3 linked regions of the Lonchura striata genome follow. The protein of the gene in region 1 interacts with the protein of each later gene in a biochemical or structural test. Links are inferred from orthologs where the notes say so. Each region holds a gene or a part of one and is shown on either strand. Other genes may lie near its edges. The genes, in order: CLTB, HIP1 and HIP1R.

Evidence for each region.
Region 2: the proteins of CLTB (region 1) and HIP1 form a complex in vitro, tested with the Homo sapiens proteins (2 studies listed by BioGRID, with this or other methods). The link is inferred for Lonchura striata from reciprocal best matches to the Homo sapiens genes CLTB and HIP1.
Region 3: the proteins of CLTB (region 1) and HIP1R form a complex in vitro, tested with the Homo sapiens proteins (2 studies listed by BioGRID). The link is inferred for Lonchura striata from reciprocal best matches to the Homo sapiens genes CLTB and HIP1R.

The regions. Positions count from the first base shown.
Region 1 is NC_134617.1:3,464,386-3,472,410, reverse strand, and holds the start of CLTB (clathrin light chain B), read right to left. Parts: upstream 3,022-8,025; 5' UTR 2,933-3,021; coding exon 2,749-2,932; intron 1,212-2,748; coding exon 1,168-1,211; intron 50-1,167; coding exon 1-49. Other genes in the region: FAF2 (FAS-associated factor 2), read left to right, coding at 3,852-3,914. UniProt on the Homo sapiens protein: Clathrin is the major protein of the polyhedral coat of coated pits and vesicles.
Region 2 is NC_134622.1:1,003,651-1,011,208, forward strand, and holds the start of HIP1 (huntingtin-interacting protein 1), read right to left. Parts: upstream 3,012-7,558; 5' UTR 2,961-3,011; coding exon 2,844-2,960; intron 2,616-2,843; exon of another isoform or gene 1,699-2,615; coding exon of another isoform or gene 1,657-1,698; intron 1-1,656. UniProt on the Homo sapiens protein: Plays a role in clathrin-mediated endocytosis and trafficking. Involved in regulating AMPA receptor trafficking in the central nervous system in an NMDA-dependent manner. Regulates presynaptic nerve terminal activity.
Region 3 is NC_134620.1:12,765,946-12,773,118, forward strand, and holds the start of HIP1R (huntingtin-interacting protein 1-related protein), read left to right. Parts: upstream 1-4,107; 5' UTR 4,108-4,229; coding exon 4,230-4,322; intron 4,323-7,173. UniProt on the Homo sapiens protein: Component of clathrin-coated pits and vesicles, that may link the endocytic machinery to the actin cytoskeleton. Binds 3-phosphoinositides (via ENTH domain).

The sequences.
Region 1 (8,025 bases):
GGTCGGCCTTGGCTATGGCTGCGTAGGCATCCGTGGGGCCGTTGGACTCCTGTGGCACACGAGCACCTCACCATCAGCACCAGTGCTTCCAAGAGCCCAGCCCAGCCACCTCCCAGGGCTGGCAGCACTCAGGCCTCCACACTCCCAGCACTGACAAGCCAGGATAGGAGGTAGGAAGGGTGACAGCTTGACACATGTGGGACAGTGTTCCCTAAGTGCTGCTCAAGCTACTCTCCCAGCCTCAGGCCCTGTCACCTAAAGCCTTGCCAGCGTTTCCCTCCTCGACCTGCTGCTCACTGCCACCGCAGCTGTTGTATCCTCCAGGCAGCCCCACTGCACAGGGCAGACACTGGCCTTGGAACTGCTCCCCAGGGACTCCCTGGCCCTCACTGGGGCCCAGGCAGCTCCGGGACCGAGCTGCTTCCCTCACGTCTGAGCTGAAGGCCCCGCCAGGCCCAGCACCTCCCCTAACACCTTCCACTGGCCAGATGCCCAGTCTGACACCAAGCTCAGCAATGGGATTACAGCTTTCTTCCAAGATCCTCAATCTAATTAAGTCTGTCCCATTCCTGATGCGATTATCATCCTGTAAAACAGGCATGGGCAGTGCATATGCCCCACTGCTGGGCAAGTGGGGTAAAGAGCTTGTGAGATGCTGGCACTGCTGACAGCAGAGCTAGGCTTCAGGCTCTCAAAGGGATCTGAGACCCAGGTGGGTCCCCCAAAAAGCCCCTGGCCATGGGGGCAAGTGGTTTTCATGGGCAATCCAAGCCCCATGGCAGCCCTATCCTGTCTCTGGCCTCTGTCAAGAGATGCTCCTGCCTGCCCCAGAGGCCTCCAGAAGCTAGCCAGACTGGATAGAGGGGACTTCTTGGGGAATGGATGATTTGTCACCTGCTCTTAGGGCCCAGGCATTCCTTCATGGCACAAGCCACCTGCAAACAGATGTGGGGCAGGTCATGGCAGGTGGGACACATCTTCTCTTCAAAGAGAATGGAGCAGCCAGGACTCCCACAGGAGACCCAGACTTTTCCAGGAGCACCGTAGCTGTTCTGCAGCTGGATAGCAAACTCCAGTCAATGCTGGGGGCAGAGCAGAAGATTGCTGGCCCCATACCCACCCAATCTTCCTTAGCAGCCCTGGGCCAGCAAAAGGCTGAGCTCTCACCTGAAAGACATCTCCATTGACAGTGGCTCCTCCATTCTGGAAACCTGCTCAAGAAAATGGAAGAGAGAAGGAAAAAACACAACTATGGCAGATGCAGGTAATCCCAGATAGGCTGGTGTTCATGAAACTGCATCAGATTAGCTCCTGGGAGTTTGTGCCTTTTTCAGCTCAGCACACCCTTGGCACAATACCCTCCCCGTGTCCTGTCCTTGCTGGGATTCAGCAAGCACCTCTCACTCTCCCACACAAACCTCTGCAGGCATTTACATCTTTATGGTGTTTTCACTGGTGTTTAATCTTATCTGAAGATTAGGGAAACTGCTCCGGCACAAGACTGACACAGGCTGCTGCTCTGACTGTAGAAACAAAACCTGACCAACCTCAACCTGCAGAGGCTGCAGGACACAGCTGAGCCAAAAGCTGCTGGCCAAGTGCCAAGGCAACTCTCCAGGTACACAGCCCATGGAAACACTCCTTGTGCTCCACCAGGACAGAAGGGTATACCTACAGGCTGAGGGCCTTGGGAGCACACCTGGGATGAGCTGCAAGGTCAGAGTTGGTAATGAGGCACCCATCTGCCCACACAACCCCAGAAAGCTGCACACCCAGGTCACAGAGCCAGCCCAGGCAGGGGGCTTTCTGCTGCCAGGAGAGAAGAGGCTTTGAAGGAGTCACACTCCAGGTCCTGGGCTTTCCCCAGTGACCACAGGGCTTCTCCTGGCCAGCCAGCTGCAGGCACAGACACACTGCAGCTCAGGCCAGCACTGTCCCCAAAGTGCTCAGCCCCATGACTACACCCAGCTCCAGCCTGTCTAACTGCATTTATCACTGTGGCTGTCAACATCTCTCCAAGCCCAGATTTGCCTCCATGACCCTGTGTGTAGAGCTATGAAACCACTGCTCCACAGACAGCATGAGGAGACACTGAGGGGCTGCATTAGGAAAGGAGTCAGAGCCCTGTGGCAACAGTGCCCCCATACAGAGAGCAGATGCCAAAGCCCCTGCAGACTGAAGACGAGAGCAGAATTAGCACATTCTACCTGCAGGGCCTGGGACCACAACGTTCCCAATGGCAATGTCTTCCATTTTGCATCCCAAAGGGCTCTCCTGTCTGTGGGGACAGTGACAAGGCTGTCATTGCTCCTCAGTGCCGCCTGGATGCCTTTTACACTGCCATAGCTAGGAGCACTGAAACATGGAGTCGGGAGCCCATCCAACCAGGGAAACCCAGTACAAGGGGGAGAAACCGCCCCACGGCTGGCACATCCCAGCTCAGGATTCCCACATCCCCGAGGTTCGAGAAGCTCTTCGGGCACAAGCACAGGCCCAGACGACCCTTGCTAGGATGCCAACCTGGCCCACAAGATCACCCCGCCACCGGCCCACGAGGGGCAGCACAGACCCCATCACCCACCAGGGATGCTGTGCATCCCCCGGGGACCCCAGCCCCGCGTGGATGCGGCCCGGAGGACCCTTCCCCGCCCTCGGGGCAGAAGGGGCACAGCCCCGCGTTACCCCGCAGGGTCAGAGCCCGCCCGCAGCCAGCGGGAGCGCAGCCGGGCGGCCCGCGGGCGCGCTCACCCTGTTCCGGCGGGGCCGCCTGCCCGCCCGGGGCGGCGGCCGCCTCGCCGTCGGTCGGCCCGAAGCCCTCATCGTTCTCGATGCCCGCGATCTCGCTCTCCTGCTGGGCCAGAAAGGCGGCGGCCGGGTCCTCCTCGGCGCCAGCGCCCTCAGATGAGGAAAAGAAGCCGAAGTCGTCGGCCATGACCGGCCCGCCCGCGCCGCTCCCGGTCCGGCTGCGCGGCTCGGCTGGGCTGGGCCCGACTGCGCCCGGGCGGAGCTGCCGCTGTCACTGCGGCGGCGGGCGGGGCGGCCGCGCTGACATCACGCCGGGGCGGGCCCGCGGGCGCGTCCCGCCTCCCGCCAGCCGCAGCGGGCACCGGGAGCCGGGGCTGCCCGCCTGCCTCCCCCGGGGCTCGACTGGCCGCGGTCTGGCCGCGCCGACCCCTCAGGCGGGCGCTCGTAGCTGCGGGTGGGAGCGGGGACCCCTCACCGCCTCCTCCATCTTAGCGGCCGCCGCCATCTTGGGCCGGGCGCACGGGCGGCCCAGCGGAACGAGGGGTGCCGGGCAGGACCCTCCCGGCGGGACCGGAGGTAGCGGGCAGGACACACCCGACGGGACCGCAGGTGCCCGGGCAGGACCCACTCGGTGACCGGCAGCCCCCGCGGTGACGGGAACACAACCAGTGTTTATCGGGGGTCTTCGGCTCATATCCCCCCCGTCCTTGGACTCAGGGCCCGCTCATCCCCGGCCTGTTCCGGGAACACCCGAGCAGCCCTTGGCACGCATCGGAACCCCTCGTGTGCCCGCCGGGAACACCCGAGCTGAGCTCGGCACACTTCGGATCTTTACGTGTGCCCGCCGGGAACACCCGAGCGGTGCTCGGCACACTTCGGAACTTTACGTGTGGCCGCCGGGAACACCCGAGAGCGGCCACCGCTGCCGATGGGATTCGGGCATCTCCGGACAGGCCCTAGAGCGCTTCGGGTCAGTCCGGAATGCGGCCGAGCAGTTCCGGCGGCGGCCGATAAACAGCGATTGGCCGCGGCGCTGGGCTGGAAGTGGGCGCGGGCGACGTCACTTCCGGAGAGTGACGGAGCGGCGGGTCAGAGGCGGCAGCAAAATGGCGGCGCCTGAGGAACGGGAGCTGACGGCGGAACAGACCGAGAAGCTGCTGCAGTTCCAGGTGCCACGGCCTGGGGGGCCCGTGCCGGCCGGCGGGAGCGGGGGAGGCGGTGCATGGACACGGAATGGGCTGAGCTGGGCCCGCTCCGCCGGCGCTGGGGGGTACGGGGCTCACAGAGCTGGATAGGCCCGTCCTGGAGCGGGGTGTCGAGCTAGGCACGAGGGGGCAGTGAGAGGAGAGACAGCTGTGGTCCCAGTCCTGGCCGGGGGCAGTGAGATTTCCGTGCCTCTAACGCTTTGTCGGGGCGATGTTCTGTCATCGCTAACTGGGGAGGCTGCTCAGTAAAGTCCTCGCAGGAGAAACTCCTTGGTAAATCCCGGCCATTTTAATTAGCCTGAAAATTTTCCTTGTCGTAGCTGGAGAGCCTTTCTTGGCACCGCGGGAGAGTTATCCAGTGGGTTTCTGTGGAACATAGTCCCTGCCCCTCACGATTGGGTAACGCCGCTGGAGACTGTAGTGATCTAATCTGTCTCTGCTACATAACACAGGCAAGGTCGCTTAACCTTTGGTTTGCGAGGCCTGGGGCTGTGTGGCAGATGAATGATCATAAACACAGTCTGAAGATGTGGTTTATTGAGGAGAAAACAGTGCTGGGCAGCTGAAATTCTTAGGGTTGCTCAGTGATGAGTAACTAAATGTGCTGAGCAATGAAAATTACCTTCAGGTGCCTTGGGTTTGTTTCTGAGCTGTAGGACATCATGTGGCATCCCTTGGATTGCAGTTCTTTTACAAATGCCATGATTACTTTTAAGAGTACTTTGTCTGCTTTTGTTGCTTTATGTTACTGTTTTGAAGAGTGTGCATTGGCAGTTTGGTGTGATGTAAATGTAGATTTAAAGGGACTCCAGAGGCATCTGGCCCTGCCTTCCCCAGGTGAGACAGTGCAGGTGTTCATCATTCCACACATTGTCTTCCCAAGCCTTCCCCTGATTCACAGCCCCCTGACTTAATCACCATGCTGAGGTGTCTTCCCATGACTGGACCCATGAGGAAACTTGCTTTACAAGTGTCCCTCTTAAGTCTACTGCAGATGGAGCTGTTTGGGCAGACAAATTAAATACAGACTAAAGGCACAGAGCAGTGCTAGCCATTGCTGTCCCTGTGCTGCCTGGTGAGTAGGTGAGGGTTTTGCACATATAAATGTCCCATTCTCTTGCTGGGAGATATCTTGGTTCTTGCTCGTCTGCATGCTCTGGACAGGTAGGACCAGCTGCTCTCACTGCTGCCTCTGCTGCTGTTTTCAAACCCATGTGGGTAGCTGTGAAGTGAAATAATCCTGTTTCCTCATGCCACTGGTGTTGGCATGGACAGAGGGCTGCTGGGGAACCCGAAGGAGAGATTCATGCTTTAGTCCAGCTTCCTGTCAAGCTCTGGTTTGAGGCACTGGGAAACACTCCTCAGGCTGTAAAGGGGAGAAATTTTTTCAGTTAGACCACTGCTGTGCAGAGCCAGATGTGAAAGCTGTGGTCCAGAAGGCTTGGATACCAGCCAGGATCCTCCCTCTTCTGTCTTCTGTGGTGTGTTGGATCAGCTTTCTCCAGGGCTAATGACAGACCCCACTGGTGATTCCTTCTCCTCTGATATGTCACATCTACCTGAGAAGGGCTCGGGTGTGAGCCCTGCTGCTTCCTCAAAAGTAAATCAATCCACTTGGAAGAGATTTTTTTCTCAGACTCCAATAGGAAAAATGAGGTGTTTGAAGAGATTAGGTAAGTGTCATTAAAATAATTTGAACATTGCTACAAGTCAGCTTGGAAAGCCTTCAGGGATCCCTGCTGAGCTTGCAGGGAACACTTCATTGTTTTCAAGGATAATTTCACACTTTGTGATGTGCCATCATAAGTAGGCTGCACAGCATTCCATGGTGACAGAGCATTGCACTTCCACAGAAGGTTGTATCCCACTGCACTGTGAACAGAGCAGCAGAGCAGACCAGGAAAGAAGGCAGGATGACCAGGATGAGGTAAGGAATTGTAGAAGGCCCTCAGTGAAATAGAGAGCCAAAGGGAGGGAAGCACTGAGCAAGGACTGCTATTCACCTAGAGAAAAGGTGGTTGGGGTGAAGATGCTGTTGCCATAAACTGCTTCACTTCTGCTGGAGAGTGCACCTTTCCAGGCAGAGGTGAGTGTGCTGTCCTGTCCTGGCACAGGTCTGTGTTAGTGCCCTCTCTGCATTAATCCCACTGATGTTTGTGTGGTGGGTTCTGTAGTGCTCATACAAACAGCTTTGCTGGCAGAATGCTGAAACCAGCAGCTTCCTTCTTGTGGGCAGGGCTGGAACGGGGCAGCTCTCTGCACCATGCTGGGGCAGGTTAGTAAAGGAAAAAAGTCAGTAGAGAGAACTGGGATAAACTTGAAAGCAACAAAGCCTCTTGTGTGCTTTCAGCCTCTCATTTACTGCCAGAGAACTGGCTAATAATGTAAGAGAATAAAAGCATCTAAATTTTTCATCTGTCAAGACCTCACTGTCCTGACATTTGGAGAGAGAAGTTTGCTGTGAACAGTTTAGGAAAGCTGTGGAGATGTGATTCATTTGGGAGATGGAAGAATCAGCAGAGCAGCTTTTGTAGGATCTGGATATTGATCTGTGCCCATTACACTTGGGCTGATGTCTGATATTGTAATATGCTAATGTAATGTAATGGAGTGTTATTTGCAAGAGAGTTGGCACTCATATAGTCTCTGACTTCAGCTAGGGAAAACAGAATGCTCAAGGCTGGATGTGACTCTGATTTAGGGGAAGGAGGAAACATGAAATTCCAGGCAGCTTTCCCACTCAGCATATCCATCAAAACCCTCAGAAAGGCATTTGCTGTAATATGCAATAAGAAACTCTTGGTTAAGGCATTTTTCCAGTTAGAACTCAGATGTTCTTTACCCTTGGAAAGTAATTCTCTGGAATTTGGCAGTGGGTTGGGAAGTAAGAGCAGTGCCAGTTAGTCCTGTGGATTTGCATCTCCTGTGCTGTGTTTCAACATCGGAGCATATCTGTAGAGGCAACGGTTTCGTAAGTCCACTTTACAACCTTTGTCCACTCAGGGGTATTCCTTCTGCTTTTGAAGCATGAAATTGTACTTTCCACTACTTCAGTTTTGAGAAGATTCTGAGCAGTCTCAAAGGTGAGAAATACTAATAATTACCTCCAGCAAAAGCTTCCTTATGCTTTACAATAACACTCTTGCTTTGGTGGTTGAGAAGCCACTATTGAACTTTTCTGGCATTTGTGGAATTTAATGTTTTGTTTTTTGAAATACTGGCCACTATGTTGAGCTTGGATTTATTTGAAGGTTTGAGAGTGCTGGTGTAATGGGACTAATTTTAACTACTTATTTGTGTAAGATCCATGCTCTTAAAGGCAGCTGATAAGGGATCAGAGCATCAACGGTTGAAGATGCTGGTTCTTCTCTTAGCCCTGATGATACAAAGAATGTGCTGGTGTGCCATGGGTATAAGAGATGCTGAGGCAGTGGAAATAATGTGGAGTTTCAAGTTTCTGATCTGTTTCCATGACTTGGTGAAGCAGGGGCCATAGGAATGTCATGAGGGTGATAATGACCAATATCAGTGTTTGCCAGCAAGAGTTGTCTGGAGTGGCGGTTGAACTGTGGTCCTGCCATTCCTTACATCAGGCATGGGTCATTCTGAAGCCTGGTGTATCTCCAGAACGTGGTGGAGCTGTGGTGTATCCAGTGGAGCACACAGACTAACAGCCAGCAAGGTGTTGAGTGTTAAAAGCTGCCTTTGCCAGGCAGTTTTTTCTACAATGTTTAATTGTGAAGCCTCATTGATCAGACAAGTGGCGGGAGCGCTCGGCACTGTGCTGCTTGGAGTGGCTTTGTCACTTCTGGTTTGAGTTGAGAGCAGCTGAATTAGGATGCTAAGGAAAAAGAAATAAAAGGAAATTCACCTCCCTGGGGAGCTCATGTAGAAGACTGAGAAGTGACTAGAGCTGCCTGTCACTGTGGTGGTGGTCAGGAGGGGTGAAGTTGGCTGTCTCTGATGTCTTTGTGGAACTCGGGTCTTGCAAATGCTGCAGTGATTCAGTGCTCATTAAATGCTTGTTGATAGCTCTGCTGCTTTCTGACCTAAAACTGCAGAAGAATTTTGCATA
Region 2 (7,558 bases), on another chromosome or scaffold:
ACTAGCCAAGCACAGAAGGAATTTCAGTCCTTGGCTCCATCATGGCACAAGGATGTCTGCTGTGGACAATTACAGCATGGAAAGAGGAAGAAGGAGGGAAGGTCCCAAGGAGGGAAGATCCCAAGCACTACTCTAAACAAAGAAGACCTTCCCTGCAGAGCTCCAGCACCAGCGCATACCCCTTAATCCAACCAGGAGAACTTGGAGGGGATGCAAACTTCAGACACCATGTGAAACATTTATCTTAAAATGTGGCAGGATTTTCACTTTCAATGTTTTTTTCTCCTCCGTTAGTGATCCTTGCTGTGCCCAAAGATTTGTGCCAAGGTTGAGGTGGTGAATGGTGAATCACCACATGAAACATCAGCAAAGGGGGAACAGTCATTGCAACACTCATACTCCCTGATGGCAGCAGAACTGCAGGATTTGGTGTCCCTGTTGCTCAACTTCCTATGAAAATTATCAGCATCGACAGAAAAGGAATAGAGCAGTCCTTGGCTGTGTCTTGTTCTTCCTGAGCTGCTCTTGCCCAGCAGGCAGCAAGAACAGCATGAAAGGAACACCATGTCTGGGCATGTCCTCAGGTTTCCCACATTTGCATTCCCAGGAAAATCAATATACTTGCACAACTGTAGGAGCAGAAGAGAGGCCACCAGGAAATTTACTGCTGTTTGTCTGCAAGCCAACAGATGGAGGCTGTCAGGACAGAATTGTTGTGCAATGCAAATGCAATAACCACCATGGAAGCTTTCCACCACCAGAATATCCCACCACCATGGAACAATTCTAGCACCAGTTTACCACCACCACAGAAACATCCTATCACCACAGGAACATCCCACCTCCAGACCTCCCCACTACTAGGATGTCCTACCACCACCACAGCTTTGTAGGGTGCTCTTGTTCTTCCAAACTGAGCTCAGACCACAGAAACTGGGTGCTGCCAACCCAAGCAGGTGTTCCTCAGGCTCCCCAAAGGCCCATTTGGATACACTTTCTGCCTGTTTTAGCACTTTTACCCCAAAATAAGCGTTGCGATGTATGTGCTGCTGCCTTGAGACAGCCAGGATTGGGGGGAGGGAAGGAGTCTGTACATGCTAAAAACACAGGGAAATTTTTCATTTTAAAGCCATTTAACAGATGAAAGTTTTCTTAAAAGAAGTCACTTTCAAAAAGAAAAAACCCAAAGCCACAAAGTTTCTCTAAAAAAAAAACCTCAGAAAGAAGAAGTTGGACAAAAATTGTACAACCAAGACCTAACGGGTGCCTGGCAAGTTCTCTAAAGTGGAGAGAATTATGGGGAAAAAAAAAAAAAAAAAAAAAAAAAAAAGAGGGAGAAAAAATTAGTTAGAAAGGGAATTGCACGGAGCTGAAGCACAGAAGAAGAAAAAGCTAGACAAGGCCATGCTGTGTCATTAGTCTGGAAATAAGATGAGGAAGATGAAATCCAGCTCGTAGCAATGTGGGGAGTGGTGCCGCTCCACCACCCTCTCCACTCAGCCCTTCCCAGGAAACCACTAGCTCAGGGGGAGCCTGAGAGAGCTCCAGGCCCATCCGGCTGTTGCTGACACAACACGGAGCCAGAAGGTTCCAGGAGCAAACCAGTTCCATTCCTACCTTTAGCAGTATGAGTAAATAATTGATGTCTGAGGTAACCTGAGCGGGAAGGTGAGCAGAGCCTTGCACATGATCCTGCATCCAACTTCATGGCCTGGTGGGTTTTCTTCCTGCAAAACCCCCTCAGACATGATCCTTGGTGTTTATTTCCATCTCTAAGCCATATCCCATGTGTTGCTCCCACTCTGGGCTCATTCAAGTCTGCTTCCACTGGTCCCATTTCTACCCTTGCTCCTGCCTCAGTTTCCCTTCCTCTCCCACGGTAGGTCTGGACAGTTCTGCTTCACTGGTACTTTCCATCCCTGGACATGGAGCAGAGCCAAGCTGTCCCCAGCTCCCTCTGCCGCCATCCCTCTCTCTTCACTCCCCCCATGCTTTGATGCTTTATCCAGGCATATCCCCAGCTGCTCCAAGCACAGCCTTTCCCCAAATCACCAGCTTTTTCCACCAAAGCACCCCTACTGCCCTTCCAGTTTGGCTGCCACCTTTCCTCTGTGCAGGACATCAATCCATCACCTAAAACCTGAGCAAAGGGCCCCATCCACCCCCATACTCTGGATGCTGCTGACAGTGCCTCTTCCCAGGAGCCAACTGCAGGGACAGACCCTGTCCACACCTGGGGTCTCGGTGTGACACAGGAGCAGAACTGACTCCACTGGCCAAAGAGCCACTTCTGTGTTCCCTCCAGCCAGGGAACACAGGCTATGTGTGCTCAGGGAGGTTCCAAGGACAGGGTGGCACCGTCCTGGGCATGATGCCTGGCTGTGGCCGGGCTTGGAGACTTGGCAGCTCAGGCCAGCGGGTCAATGTTCCCTAGCCCCGCTGCTGGGAAGGCCAGGCTGAACAAACACTGCTGGGCTGGGGCATCCCGGCTGTTCCTCCAGGGCCGGCTCCAGCCCTAGCCACGAAGTCCGGCGGGTCCCCAACCCCGTCGCCCCAGGGCGACCCGCGGCCCTCCTCCGCCAATCCCCCCGACCTGCCGCCAACCCAGCTGCGCCCTTGCGCCAGCACCAACCCGCCAGGCAGCTCCATCTGGCTCTGGCTCACCCGGCTGGCCGCGCCCACCCAAACAACCTCGCCCACCTCGGGTAACCCCGCCCGCCTGGCACAGGTACGGGCGAGCCGTGCCCACCGCACCGCGCCGCGCCCCGGCTCGCCCCGCCCGTCAGCCACCGCCTTCCCCTCCTCACCGCTCGCATCCCCGCCCCGCCCCGCCCTGCCCGCACCTGGGCGCGCTCGAAGCTCTCCCGCTCGGCCTCCAGGCTGCCGCCGCCTGCCCGCCGGCTTAGCACCTTGGGCAGCGGGTTGGCCACCTGCTTCATGGTGCTGCTCACCCGCTCCATGGCCGCCCGACCCGGCCCGCCGCCCGGCCCGCGCCGCGCCGCCACCGCGGGCCCTGCGCCATTGGCCCGCCCGCCTGCCCCTCACGGCCCGCGGGCACCACCCTCCCAGCCGAGCCCCCCCCCACCGGCCCGGATTCTCACTCTCATTGGTTCATATGGACGTCAATCAACGCAAGCTCCCGCCTCCCCAGTCCCCCTGCTCTTTGCTCCGCCTTCAGGGGCCGCGCCCTTAGCACCGCCCACCCGAGCGCCGCGGCCACGCCTTTGCGCAGTTCCCTACTGTGATTGGTCCGCGGCCCTGCCGCTCAGACACCGGTGTCCCGCCCCGCCCCTCCCCTGTATGGGGCGCGGCGCCCCCTGGCGTCGGCGGACTGATCGGGACGCGCCGGGCCGAGCCCAGGGGCCGCCGTGGGCTCCGCCGGGCCCGGGGGCGGCCGCCGTGCACCGGCTCCGAGCCGCGGCTGAGCCCTCCGGGGCCGCCGTGCACCGGCTCCGAGCCGCGGCTGAGCCCTCCGGGGCCGCCGGCCGCCGAGCCCCGTATGGCTCCGTGAGGCTGCGGCCCCTCGGCCGAGCCCGGCGCGTGGCCACGGGGTGACCCGGCACCGCCGCCCCGTCCCCGCTGTCCGCCTTGGGCCGGGCCGCCCCTCACGGGTGTTCGTGGCTCCCCACGGCCTGGGCCGGGGGTGGGGAGGCGGCTCCGCCGGCTGTCAGCGCCAGCAGAGCCCCGCAGCCTGCGGAAGGGTCGTGTGAGGCTTTTCCCGTGTGGGATCCAGGCTGGGGGTGGGAGCTCTGCAGGGCATTGCTGCAGGCACAGCTGGCAGAGCCCAACAGGAAGTGTGTAGCATTGGCAGAGGGGCAAAATGTGGTTACAGGGGTCTGAAAAACGCCAATCATTTGGTTTTTAAAATTTTATACGTTTAATAATAATAAAATTGTTATAAAAATAATAATACAATTAGGGTAATAAAGTTTAGAGTTAGGACAATTACAAGACAATAAAAAGCAAAGAATTATGGATGTCCGGATGCTCTCATACACTAAGTCACGAAAAGCATGACTTGTGAACAAAGGAATCACCCTTAAACTAATACACTTGTTGCATATTCATACATCCTTTATGGTTATGCATACGTTCTATTTTAAACAAGAAACTCTGTTGTATGTCAACTGTTTCCTTTAATCCCCTGGCGTCTTCGAGTCTGAGAAAGGCCTGAAGAAATTAGCTTCTTCTCATAAGAAGCCATAAATTCCTCTCCTTTGGAAGATTTAGGTGTTCCTCGAAGCCAGTATCTCATTCCTAAAAAGAAAAGTCCCCCCACATACATAGTCTCTATTTTAACATTATGTTGTAACCTAAAACTACACTTAACACAATACGTAAGAGAATTAATACAGCATAACTTTCTAACATTACACATATAATATTCATTGTAACATTTGCGAAAAGCCAATCACAAATATGCATTTTTCACAATGGGGTCTGAAAAAGAAGAGAGGAAAGGTGAGAGAAGGATTTTGTTTCCCCTGGACTGTGTTTTATTATAACTTGATCTGGTCCTGTCACTCTAATCAGAGATTTTTGTAGCATTAGATTGGATATCAGGAAGGAATTATTGACTGTAAGGGTGGTTGAAGCCCTGGCACAGGTTGCCCAGAGAAGCTGTGGCTGCCCCATTGCTGGAAGTTACCCAGGCCACACTGCATAGGGCTTGGAGCAGCTTGGTCTAGTCAAAGGTGTGCAGGAGGTGGAACAGGATTGTTGGAAATTATACAACTTCTAAATTTTTAAACTAACTTTAGTCAGTGGTTTCGTTCATCTTTGCCCAGGAAGGGAATGGAAGTTTCTTTTCAAGAGACTGTTCCCTAGGCAAGGCCTGATGAGTTTAACATCTCAAGGGACTGGGAGTGCCAAAGGATGCACAAGAGATAAGCGACCATTAATGAACATCAACATCTGAACATCCTTCCTGTTGTGTCGGAGACACTTAGTCCAGGAAAAGATCATAAAAGAAGAATGAGGGCCCGATGAGTATCGAAGGTGAAGAGATCAATAACCAATAGGAAACCAAATTCTAAGAACTGTGTAACTTCAGACCAATAAACATTGAACCAATGAATCTCTCTGAGTTTTAACTGTATAAGTATGTAAAAATCTAGAAAAGAGACATGTGATGGAATTATTTTCTTTGCACAACCCAATGTGTGGATGAAATTACTTCTGTTGCACATCCTGGCCAGAACATCATCCTGGCCAGAATAAAATAACGCTTGAGTTCTCTAACATTAAAAATTGTTCAAAAGGTTTTGTTTTTCCTGCTGTTTAAGTGACAGGATGAACTTTAAAGTTTCTTCCAACTCAAACCATTCTGGGATTCTCTCAACCTGGCGAATTACTGGCTCCTGTAATTTTGACCAGGACTATCATCCTATTCCAGAGGTGAATTTCTCACTTGGAACATTTCTACAATACTGGGAGGAATTCCTTTTTTTTTTTTTTTTTTTTTTTTTTTTTTTGTTTTGTTTTGTTTTGTTTTGTGAAGAGACTGAAAACTGAATTCCCAGATATGGCAAATGGGCCATGCTGGGACTGTGCCAGCTGGGTTCCTGAATCCTTAAAAGCAGATCATAACAAATCAGTGACTTTGCTCCAGGTGGGGAGAAACTGTGCAAAACACTGCTGGGGTGATGGGGCAATCTGGAAACAGCTGTTTAGCATGTAGGCTGTCAGGAGCTCTTGTGTAAGCAATCCTCCCAGCATATCTCTCTTTTCTGACTTTTTCAGCTGAAATAATTGCCACACCAGGACCCTCCTGGAGCTGCCCAGCAGGGTGTGTGACAGCCTGTTTGCATCACAGGCCTTACCAGTCCCTGTGCATTGGACAGCAAATCCCAGCTGATGGGAAATGGCCTGCGTGGAGCAGCGAGACCATTCCTCCCACTTGTCTCAAGTGCCTGTCTGCATTGTCCTTAATGTACTTTCTGGAAACCTGCCTCCTTCCTTGGGGCTGCTCCCAGGGGAAGTTTAATGGGTTTGATTCATCCACTGTTGCAGCGAGATGATTAATAATTGAAGAAATTACATCATTGCTGAATAGAGATGGAGGAAAGGAAGAGCAAAGGAAGGGACTGGACAAAGGATAGTGGTGCCTTGTGATCTGGACCTCTCCCACCCTCCACCTCACTGGGAACATCCTGCTCCTGGAGCCCATGGCAAGAGACCACTAGGCTGAGGCTTGGTATAGCTGCTTCCTCCTACTGAAGAGCAGAGCCACATCCTCTTTGTCCCTAGCCAGGGCCCAGTGCTCATGCTGGGACCTGGGCAGGAACAGAGCAAGGTGCTTGGATGCGGGACAGAGCAGGCTGTTTCTACTGGCTGCTTCTGCCTCTCCCAGGAAGGGGCTGTAACAGGATAGAACTGGGATCCAGCCCATGAGCTGCTGGTCAGACCACCCTGGGCTGGCCTATTCCACGCAGCCTTTCTGCTGGAATGTGCTGTGGGGATTTGCAGGGATTTGAGAGGCTCCTTCCCAGTGGGAGAGAGTGCCTTGTTTTCAGGTAGTTGAGAGGGGAAGGCACAGAGCTGTTCCTGTGCAGCATCTGTTCCTCTGCCTCAGGTTCCATGGGGAGATGATGGGGAAGGGCTGAAACTGAGCAGGGTGGAGGTAGAGCAGGTTGGGCATTGCTCTTCCTCCCCAGCAGGTCCTTTTTGGAAGCCATGGCTGGGGTTCACCTGTTCTCAGAGTGCTCTCTCCTCACTCCTGTCCAAGAGGCTGGACTGAAGGGTGATAGCAGAGCCCCTCGTGGGGGTGTCTGGCCTGTGTGGGGACAGACATTGTCTGGACATGGAGAGGACCATGTGTGCCCTCTCTTTTTTCCTGCTCAGCAGTATGTGGCACCAATCAAGTACTGCTCAGGCCAGGCAGGTGGGACTGGAGCTCATCCTTCCCCTGTTGCAGGGCTCCGTAGGGCAGTTCCCTCTTTATTCTCCATGCCCAGAGGTTCCTGTCCACAGGATCCTAAAGGAGGTCTGCTCCCATTCTGTCAGGACACCCTTAACCCAAATGGGAAGGCCAAGTAACAGGAGTGGGACCAGAAGGGACTGCAGGGGCTATGGGCCCTGTCTGGGGCTCAGGGATGCACTTTTCATGGGGGCTGGGAGCTAGAGTCTGTTTTTATAATTCCCTCCCCAGCCAGAGCTGGAGAGTCCCAGGGTGCTGCTGCAACAGTCATCACCCTCTTGTGGCCTGGCCTGGGCTCAGGGAGAGGACAGATCCCCCTTGTTTCAACAGGAAAACAGAATCACAGAGCTCCACAGTCCTTCCTCTGTTATCCTGCTGGCTGTGCTGGAGTGGGCTGGCACAGGGCTCTGTGCTAAGATCCCTTCTCTTTCCACCTTGGAGGTGGGAAAAATGGATCCCAAATGGATCCCCTTCAGTCCCTTTACACATTCCAAGGCAGGCCCAGATGCAGCCCTGCCCTGGTGATGGGGTAATTTGCTCAGACTCTGGGACAAAAACAACTTCTGAGCCGAAGTATCCATCTGGAGAGGGCAGAGTAGTAGTCCAGACCCAGCAGGAGGGTCCTTGAGGAGCAAAGAT
Region 3 (7,173 bases), on another chromosome or scaffold:
GATTATTTGTTCTCCTATTGTGGATTGGATGCTTGCAGTAGGCACCACCTTGTCTGGTTCTGAGGACAAAAGAGTAACCAGATATGGTTAAAATCCTGAACAGCACACAAAACTGAATAAGAACCAGCAACAATGAGGAGAAAAACTGGCAAAAAAAGAGAAACCTCTCAGTGCTGACACAGCCCAGGCTCGTGCCTGCAAAGGGAGGTTACCCCAGAGCCAGCTGGGCTGTGACACTGTGTGACTCCAGTTGTGGATCAGCCTCCAGCCCATGGGGAGCTGCTGCTCAGTTCTCTCTTGGGTATTCCAGCTGCAGTCCCTGAGCTGTTTGTGCCCTGGGGAGTCAGGCTGGCTGGCTGCACTCATGTTCTGCTGGTTCTGCATTAAGCCTGGAGTCACTGAGACTCCTCTGTGAGCCCGTGGGGACTGTGGAGTGCAGCTGATGGGGCACCTGGGGGAGATGGATGCTGAGCAGCTCGAGTGCCAAACTTTCCTCTGCTGTAACGTTCCTGTGCACAGAGAACTCTTCCTTTCCTGAAAAGAGCCCTGAGGTAAAAGCAGACAGAGGTTTTATAGGTTGGAGCCAGCACTGTGACTTGCATCCTGAAACCACTGATGTTACAAAGCTTCAGGAGCAAATCCCCAAAAGTGCTGAGCCCCGTGCTGAGGCAGCAGAGTGGGGAGAGCACGCTGAGCCTACAGAAATAATCACATTTGCCTCAAGTGAGAAAGAGCTGGTGGAACAAACATGCCACAATCCACTGCAGATCCATGACAAGAATGAGTGGTTCTCCAAGTCACTGGCTAATACATAATTTTCATTTTCTTTCTGTGTTAAAAAGCAACGAATCACTGTGATCAGTTAGATCTGAAGCAGAGCAGGCTCAGAAATAACCAAACATTTGTGCAGTTTCATATACAGAAGTGATTGAATTGATTTTGGTTGTGTTTGTTTGGTTTTAAATTGCTTTGAAACTCATTTGAGGGCAGGTGCACTGGCAAACATTAGGGCAATTTCCTCCCTAGCTGCCAGTAATTTAGCTATTCTCATCAGTCAGTTGTTTTGCCTCTAAGAGAGAGGTTGGAGGGGTGGGGGGAGTTGAAGAACTCAGGAGGAGAGAAGTTAGGAAAAGGCTATTTTCTTTTTTGGACACAGCAGCATGTGCCAGTGCTCATAAACGGTGACTCAGTGGCTGGCCTGGGGCACAAAGATCACTCCTTTCCTCAAAGCCAACTGGAAAGGTTTTATTTCCCAGCACCCCAGTGGTGGCCCTGAGACTGTTGCCTTTCTGTGAAGTACTTTGTTTACCTTTTCCTCTTTATAGTTTTACTCCATGTTCTTACTCTGTTTGCAGTGTGAAAATTTGTGTAATAAATTCACGTAAGTGTGATTGCTTCAGATATTTCAGAGGAAATGTTCCTGCTTTTTTCATTAAAATCTTTTCCTTTTTCTTCAGAGGAAAAAGTGTTTCCAACACAGAGGTAATACTGAGGACTGAAGATCATTGACCCAGCAGCTACAACAGAAAGTTACCTCATATTTTTCCTGTGGTTCCTCCTGAGTGTTTGAAAGACTCACAAGTGGCAAGAAGATGTGACTCTGCAAGAATGCATTTTATCTTGAAATAAAACACAGAATTACACCAAGATTAACAAAGCTATTTTTACAGCTGAGAGCTCAGGTTAAACACTAGCTTATTTTTTAAGAATCTGAAGTGTGTAATTGTTACAACATAGGAACTATTTTTCTTTTTTTTTTTTTATGGTGGCTCAGAAATATTTATAGACTATGACACAGCCAAGCAATCTCCTTTTTTTTTTTTAGCACATTGTTTTTGTTCTGGATTTCTTGCCTTGTAGAGAGAGATGAATAATGTTTATAGGAAGTTCCTAATTAGTGTTGTAAGCAGGAACTGCCTCCGATGTTGCTGAAATGGGAGAACTGTCACCCTCAAGGTGGGCAGAACATCTTTCCACACTCAGGAGCTGGTTTTCCAACAAAAGTCTATGGGATCAGGTGTGTATGGCCTCTGTTTGCACTGTAGAGGTAGCCAAGTATGATGTAACCTTTTTTTAGCATTTAAACTGGATTTATGTTTGCTGATTGGGCAAGATGTGCTGTTATCACAATTTGAACTTCTTTTTTAATGTAGAGATCAAATAATCTGATAAAGGTGATACTTTGCTGTGTCTCTCTTGCCCATTTAACACATTTAGCACTTGATTTCTGACATTTCTCAGCAGACATGAGTGGGCTGCCCAGTCCTGTGTAGATTTGGGAGCACTTTGGGACACCAGTGCCCCTCCCACAGCCCTGTGCCAGCATTTTTCCTGCTGGGGGGAGCCAAGGGTGGGAGTTTCTGCTCCATCCAGTGCCACCAATTATTGCTGAGAAACACAACATTCCGTGGAGTCTCCTTGTTAACTCTTTCATTTCATTTTCTGCTTTCTCTTTAATTACTCCAGTGACAGCCTTTCCTGCAGGTATTAATGGCCCTAGAATTAGGTGGCCAGTTCTGATGAGAGCTGCTGTTCTCCAGACTCTTTCCCTGCCTGCTCACCAGCATTACCCACAGAGGGAAGCTCAGCTGCTCCAGCTCTTTCCAAGTTTCCTCAAGCCTTTACAGTGCATTTATTCCTCTACCTGCATAGAACCTTCTCAGGCTCCATCCTCGCAATCTCCTGCTGTGGGTATGACAAGAATTCCCCCTAAAAAGCCAGTGATGACAATGCCATGATGCTCACCCTGAAGCTGTCCAGCAGCTACACAGAGAAATTGGTGCAACTTCCAAGCAGCAGCTGCATTTAAATGGTTTTGAGGTTATTGGATCAACTCACTGAGTTTAAACCCCTGGAGAGTTTAAAATGATGACTTTAAGATCAATATAGAAAACTGAGCTCAAGCGATGCATCAAGGATCTGCAGAGCCTTAGGATTTTGTGTCGGGGCTGCCCTGGATTTGTAGAATGGGAAGAAGGGGAATAACTGTTAATTTATTCAGCACTAAGTGACTTAAAGCCCAACTACATTATTGACCACACTCTGGTGCTCAAATGGAAACGCTTCAAACTCGGTGCCTTAATTCTGGAAGCAGCTCAAATACTCCAGGGAGCCCTTTGCTATTGTATCCTTGGTTTGAATTATTATTTAAAGACAACAAAGCTCCTGTTCAGCCACGGCCTTTCCGCAGGGTGGGTGCGAGCTCCGGTCATTGACTTTGGTAACGGGAATCGGTGCTGGAGCTCCGGTGCGAGTGCAGTGGGAGAGGGGTGAAATGGGCGCTGAGAAGGGACGGTCGCGCTGGCGGTGACCGCTGTTCCTGGTGCTTCCTGAGCTGGGCAAGCACCTCGGTGCCTGGTGCCTCGGGGGGCTGCTAAGGGACGTGTCCCTCGCTCCGTGTCCCCTCTCCGTGTTCGTGTCCCCTCCCCGTGTCCCCTCTCTGCCCGTGTCCCCTCTCCGTGTCCGTGTCCCCTCCCCGTGTCTCCTCTCTGTCCGTGTCCCCTCCCCGTGTCCCCTCTCCGTGTCCGTGTCCCTTCCCCGTGTCTGCTCTCCGTGTCCCCTCTCTGTCCGTGTCCCCTCTCCGTGTCCGTGTCCCTTCCCCGTGTCTGCTCTCCGTGTCCCCTCTCTGTCCGTGTCCCCTCTCCGTGTCCGTGTCCCTTCCCCGTGTCTGCTCTCCGTGTCCCCTCTCTGTCCGTGTCCCCTCTCCGTGTCCCCTCTCCGTGTCCCCTCCCCGTGTCCCCTCTCTGCCCGTGTCCCCTCTCTGTGTCCGTGTCCCCTCTCTGTCCGTGTCCCCTCTCCGTGTCCCTTCCCCGTGTCCGTGTCCCCTCCCCGTGTCCCCTCTCTGTCCGTGTCCCCTCCCCGTGTCCGTGTCCCCTCCCCGTGTCCGTGTCCCCTCCCCGTGTCCGTGTCCCCTCTCTGTCCGTGTCCCCTCCCCGTGTCCCCTCTCCGTGTCCTCTCTCTGTCCGTGTCTCCTCTCTCTGCCCGTGTCCCCTCTCTGCCCGTGTCCCCCCGGGGCTCTCGGTCCCACCTGCCCGCGGGGGGAGCGGCGCTGCAGTTCCGAGCGTGGCCGCTGGGGGCGCGGCGGCGCGCGGCGCAGTGCGCGGCCGGGAGGGGCGGGGGCGGGCGGCGCCGGTCGCTCCTGCCCGGAGCGCGGAGCCCCGAGCGCGGGCACCGGAGCCTGGATACCGGAGCCTGGCTACCGGAGCGGGGAGCTCCCAGCGCGGCCCACCATGAACAGCATCAAGAGCGTGCCGGCGCGGGTGCTGAGCCGCCGCGGCGGGCACAGCCTGGAGGCGGAGCGGGAACAGTTCGACAAGAGCCAGGCAAGGACAGCGGGAGGGGGCGGCGGGGCCGCGGGACCGGCCGCGGTTACGGTCCCGGTTTTAGTCCCGGTCCTGTTCCCGGCTCGGGGACGGGGCAGGCCGGCCCTTTCCGCGGGGCATCGCGTCGGGGCGCGCTGAGCGCGGGGGTTTCTCGGGCGATGGGATGAGACGGGATGGGGGGCGCAGGTCCCGGCCGCGCTCCGGGGAAGCCCCGGTGGGGCAGCGGGGCCGCCGCACCTCTGCCCGTCCCCGTGTCCGCCCGTCCGTCCCCGGTGCCGCCGCCGCGCGCTCCCCCTCCCCCACCTGCGCCGCCGCTTCCTCCCGGCGCGGCCGCGGGACGGTCCCGCGTGGGCACCCGCCCGTCCCGCCGCCCCGCGCCCGTCCCCGGGCCGCGGCCCCGCCGTGCGCCGCCGCTCCCGCGGGCAGCCGGGCCCCGCGCACCCCGCGCCTCCCGGGCCTTACCGCAGGTCAACACGGCCGGCAGCACACGGGGAAAGTTTTGCGGTGCTGGCGGCAGCGCGGCCGAGCCCGGGGACTCCGCGGCAGCCCCGCGCCCCGGGAATGGGCATCTCCGCATCCCTGCCTAGCCCCGGCCCCACCGGCACCGGGGGATGTTTCGCACCGGAGTTGGATCCACCCCTACCCCGCGGCTCCGGGTCACCCGCGGGTCACCCTGCGGGGATCGGGGTGTTTGGACCCACGGACGGTGGCAGAGTGGAAACAAAGCCCAAAGGCGTTCGTGCTCCATCGTGTCCGGCTTGGCGGGGGTGTCCGTGCTCCTGTAGACCCCACGGGGTGGGCAATGCTCGGGCACTGATGGGGCCGGCATATGGCTGGGGGGAAACGAACTACTCAGACAGCGTGGGCAGGGATGGGCAGAGGGATGGACAGAGTGACGGGCTCGCTGCTGCCCCAGCAAAAATAACAGTGCCCTGCCGCATGCCTCCTCTGACCCCTCTGCTTTTGCAGGCTGTGCATTCATCGCAGATGTTTTCCCCTCTGCCCCTTTGCTTTGCGGTTCCTTCCTCAGGCCCTGGGCTGGTTTGGCCCCGGAGAGCGCCAGTGAAGGCAGGTGGGAATTTCAGGCCTCGCAGGGTCACGGTGCTGGGTAGGAAACGGAGCTTTTGCCGTGTCTGGGGAGCAACACGAGAAAACCGGCAATTCCGGTTCCCTCTGGACGCGTCTCCTTCAGTCGGCCCGCTGGGCACCGCTGGTGAACGCTGCCCCGTGCCCAGCACGAACGGGGCCCCGCTCCCCCCGGCCTTCCAGGGCACTTGGGGCTTTTCACTGGGATTTGTGCTCTGGAGATCCGCGCAGTCACAGGGATGCTGTGAGCGGAGATGTGGACACGGAAAAGAGGTGGTTGCTCGCTGGCTGATGGTCACATTCCCTGCCCAGAACTGCTAAAAACTGTCCTAAAGGAGCTTTATCCTGGTGTGGTTTCCTGTAGTGGTGCTTCGGTGAGAGCAGAACTGTTCAGTGTCAGAACGTGGGTATTGATCTGCCTTTTACCTCTAATTATAGCAGCTGCCCAGTTGGCCGCCAGTCACCTCTGTGTCACGGGGGTGCTGGTGGCATGTCCCCTCCTTGTCTCTGTGTCACGGGGGTGCTGGTGGCACGTCCCCTCCTTGTCTCTGTGTCACGGGGGTGCTGGTGGCACGTCCCCTCCTTGTCTCTGTGTCACAGGGGTGCTGCTGGCACGTCACCTCCTTGTCTCTGTGTCACAGGGGTGCTGCTGGCACATCCCCTCTGTTGCCTGAGGATTCTGTACCAGAGTCCAGAGCCCCATCACCTTTTCCCCTGTGAGGGCTCAGGTGATGTCTGTGGTTACAGACAGGAGTTGCTGGCCCTGCTGTGATCCCAGGTCCTTGTGGGTGACGTGAAGGTCACCTGCTTTCCCTGAAAATGCTTTTCCATATTTTGTGTCAGGGTGATTTAATGTTCCCCTCGGAGAAGCCGTGCATGGGAAGTAGGAAATCATCCCACAGCAGGCGCTTGCTCGGCAGCCTTGCAGGAGGAAAAACTTGCCCGTTTTTGCTTTTCTTAAAGAAAAAGGTTAAAAATCCAATGAGCTCTGGAACCTGCAGGATTGCATTGTGTGTGACTGCCAAGTGGTGTTTTCCTGGTGTAATTTGGAAAGGAGCAGCATTAGGAAGGGAACTCTGGAGTTCATAGCTCAGCTGTTCTGACAGCTCTCGGACTGCCTGGCCAGGGAGGTTTCCAGCTGCCAAATAATCCCGTGCTGGAACCCGGCATCCACTGCCCGGAGGGGATTGGGCCCCGGTGGGATGCCGGGGCTCTGGGGAGCCGTGGGCGGGAGGATCAGCCCTAATTAAAAGCAGCCAGGAATGAAAGGGTGGATGTTAAACTGCGCTCCTTCATTTGGGCGCTTTGATCCCGGCTTTAGTCAGCGGCTTGGTACGTGCGGGCTGTGAGCAAAGCTGGGGCTGCAGCCCTGTGGGATCCCACAGCCCACGGCCCGGCAGGTTTTGGGCTTGGCTCCTCACCCAGTTGGCCTGCCAGTGGTGGGGAACAGTCCACAGGTTGCATCAAAGTTTTGGCCAGGCTGATTGTGCACCTGCAGTGACAGCCAGGACCTGCCCATCTCCGGACGTGCCAGCGGTGTCCCAAGAGGTTGGGTCAAGGGTGAATCTCCCCGTTTTGGAGCCATCCTCCACAGCCTGGCTTTGCCAGACAGCCAGCAGGAGCATCCTGTCAGCACACGTGTGCCAGGCTGCAGCATTGCCCCATGCTGGTGCCACCAATCCCATTTTCCTGGATCTCCTGGCAAGCTTGATGCTTGGAGGCAGGGAAAGCACACGTGGGCTGCCCAGAGGGACTGGCATTGGTT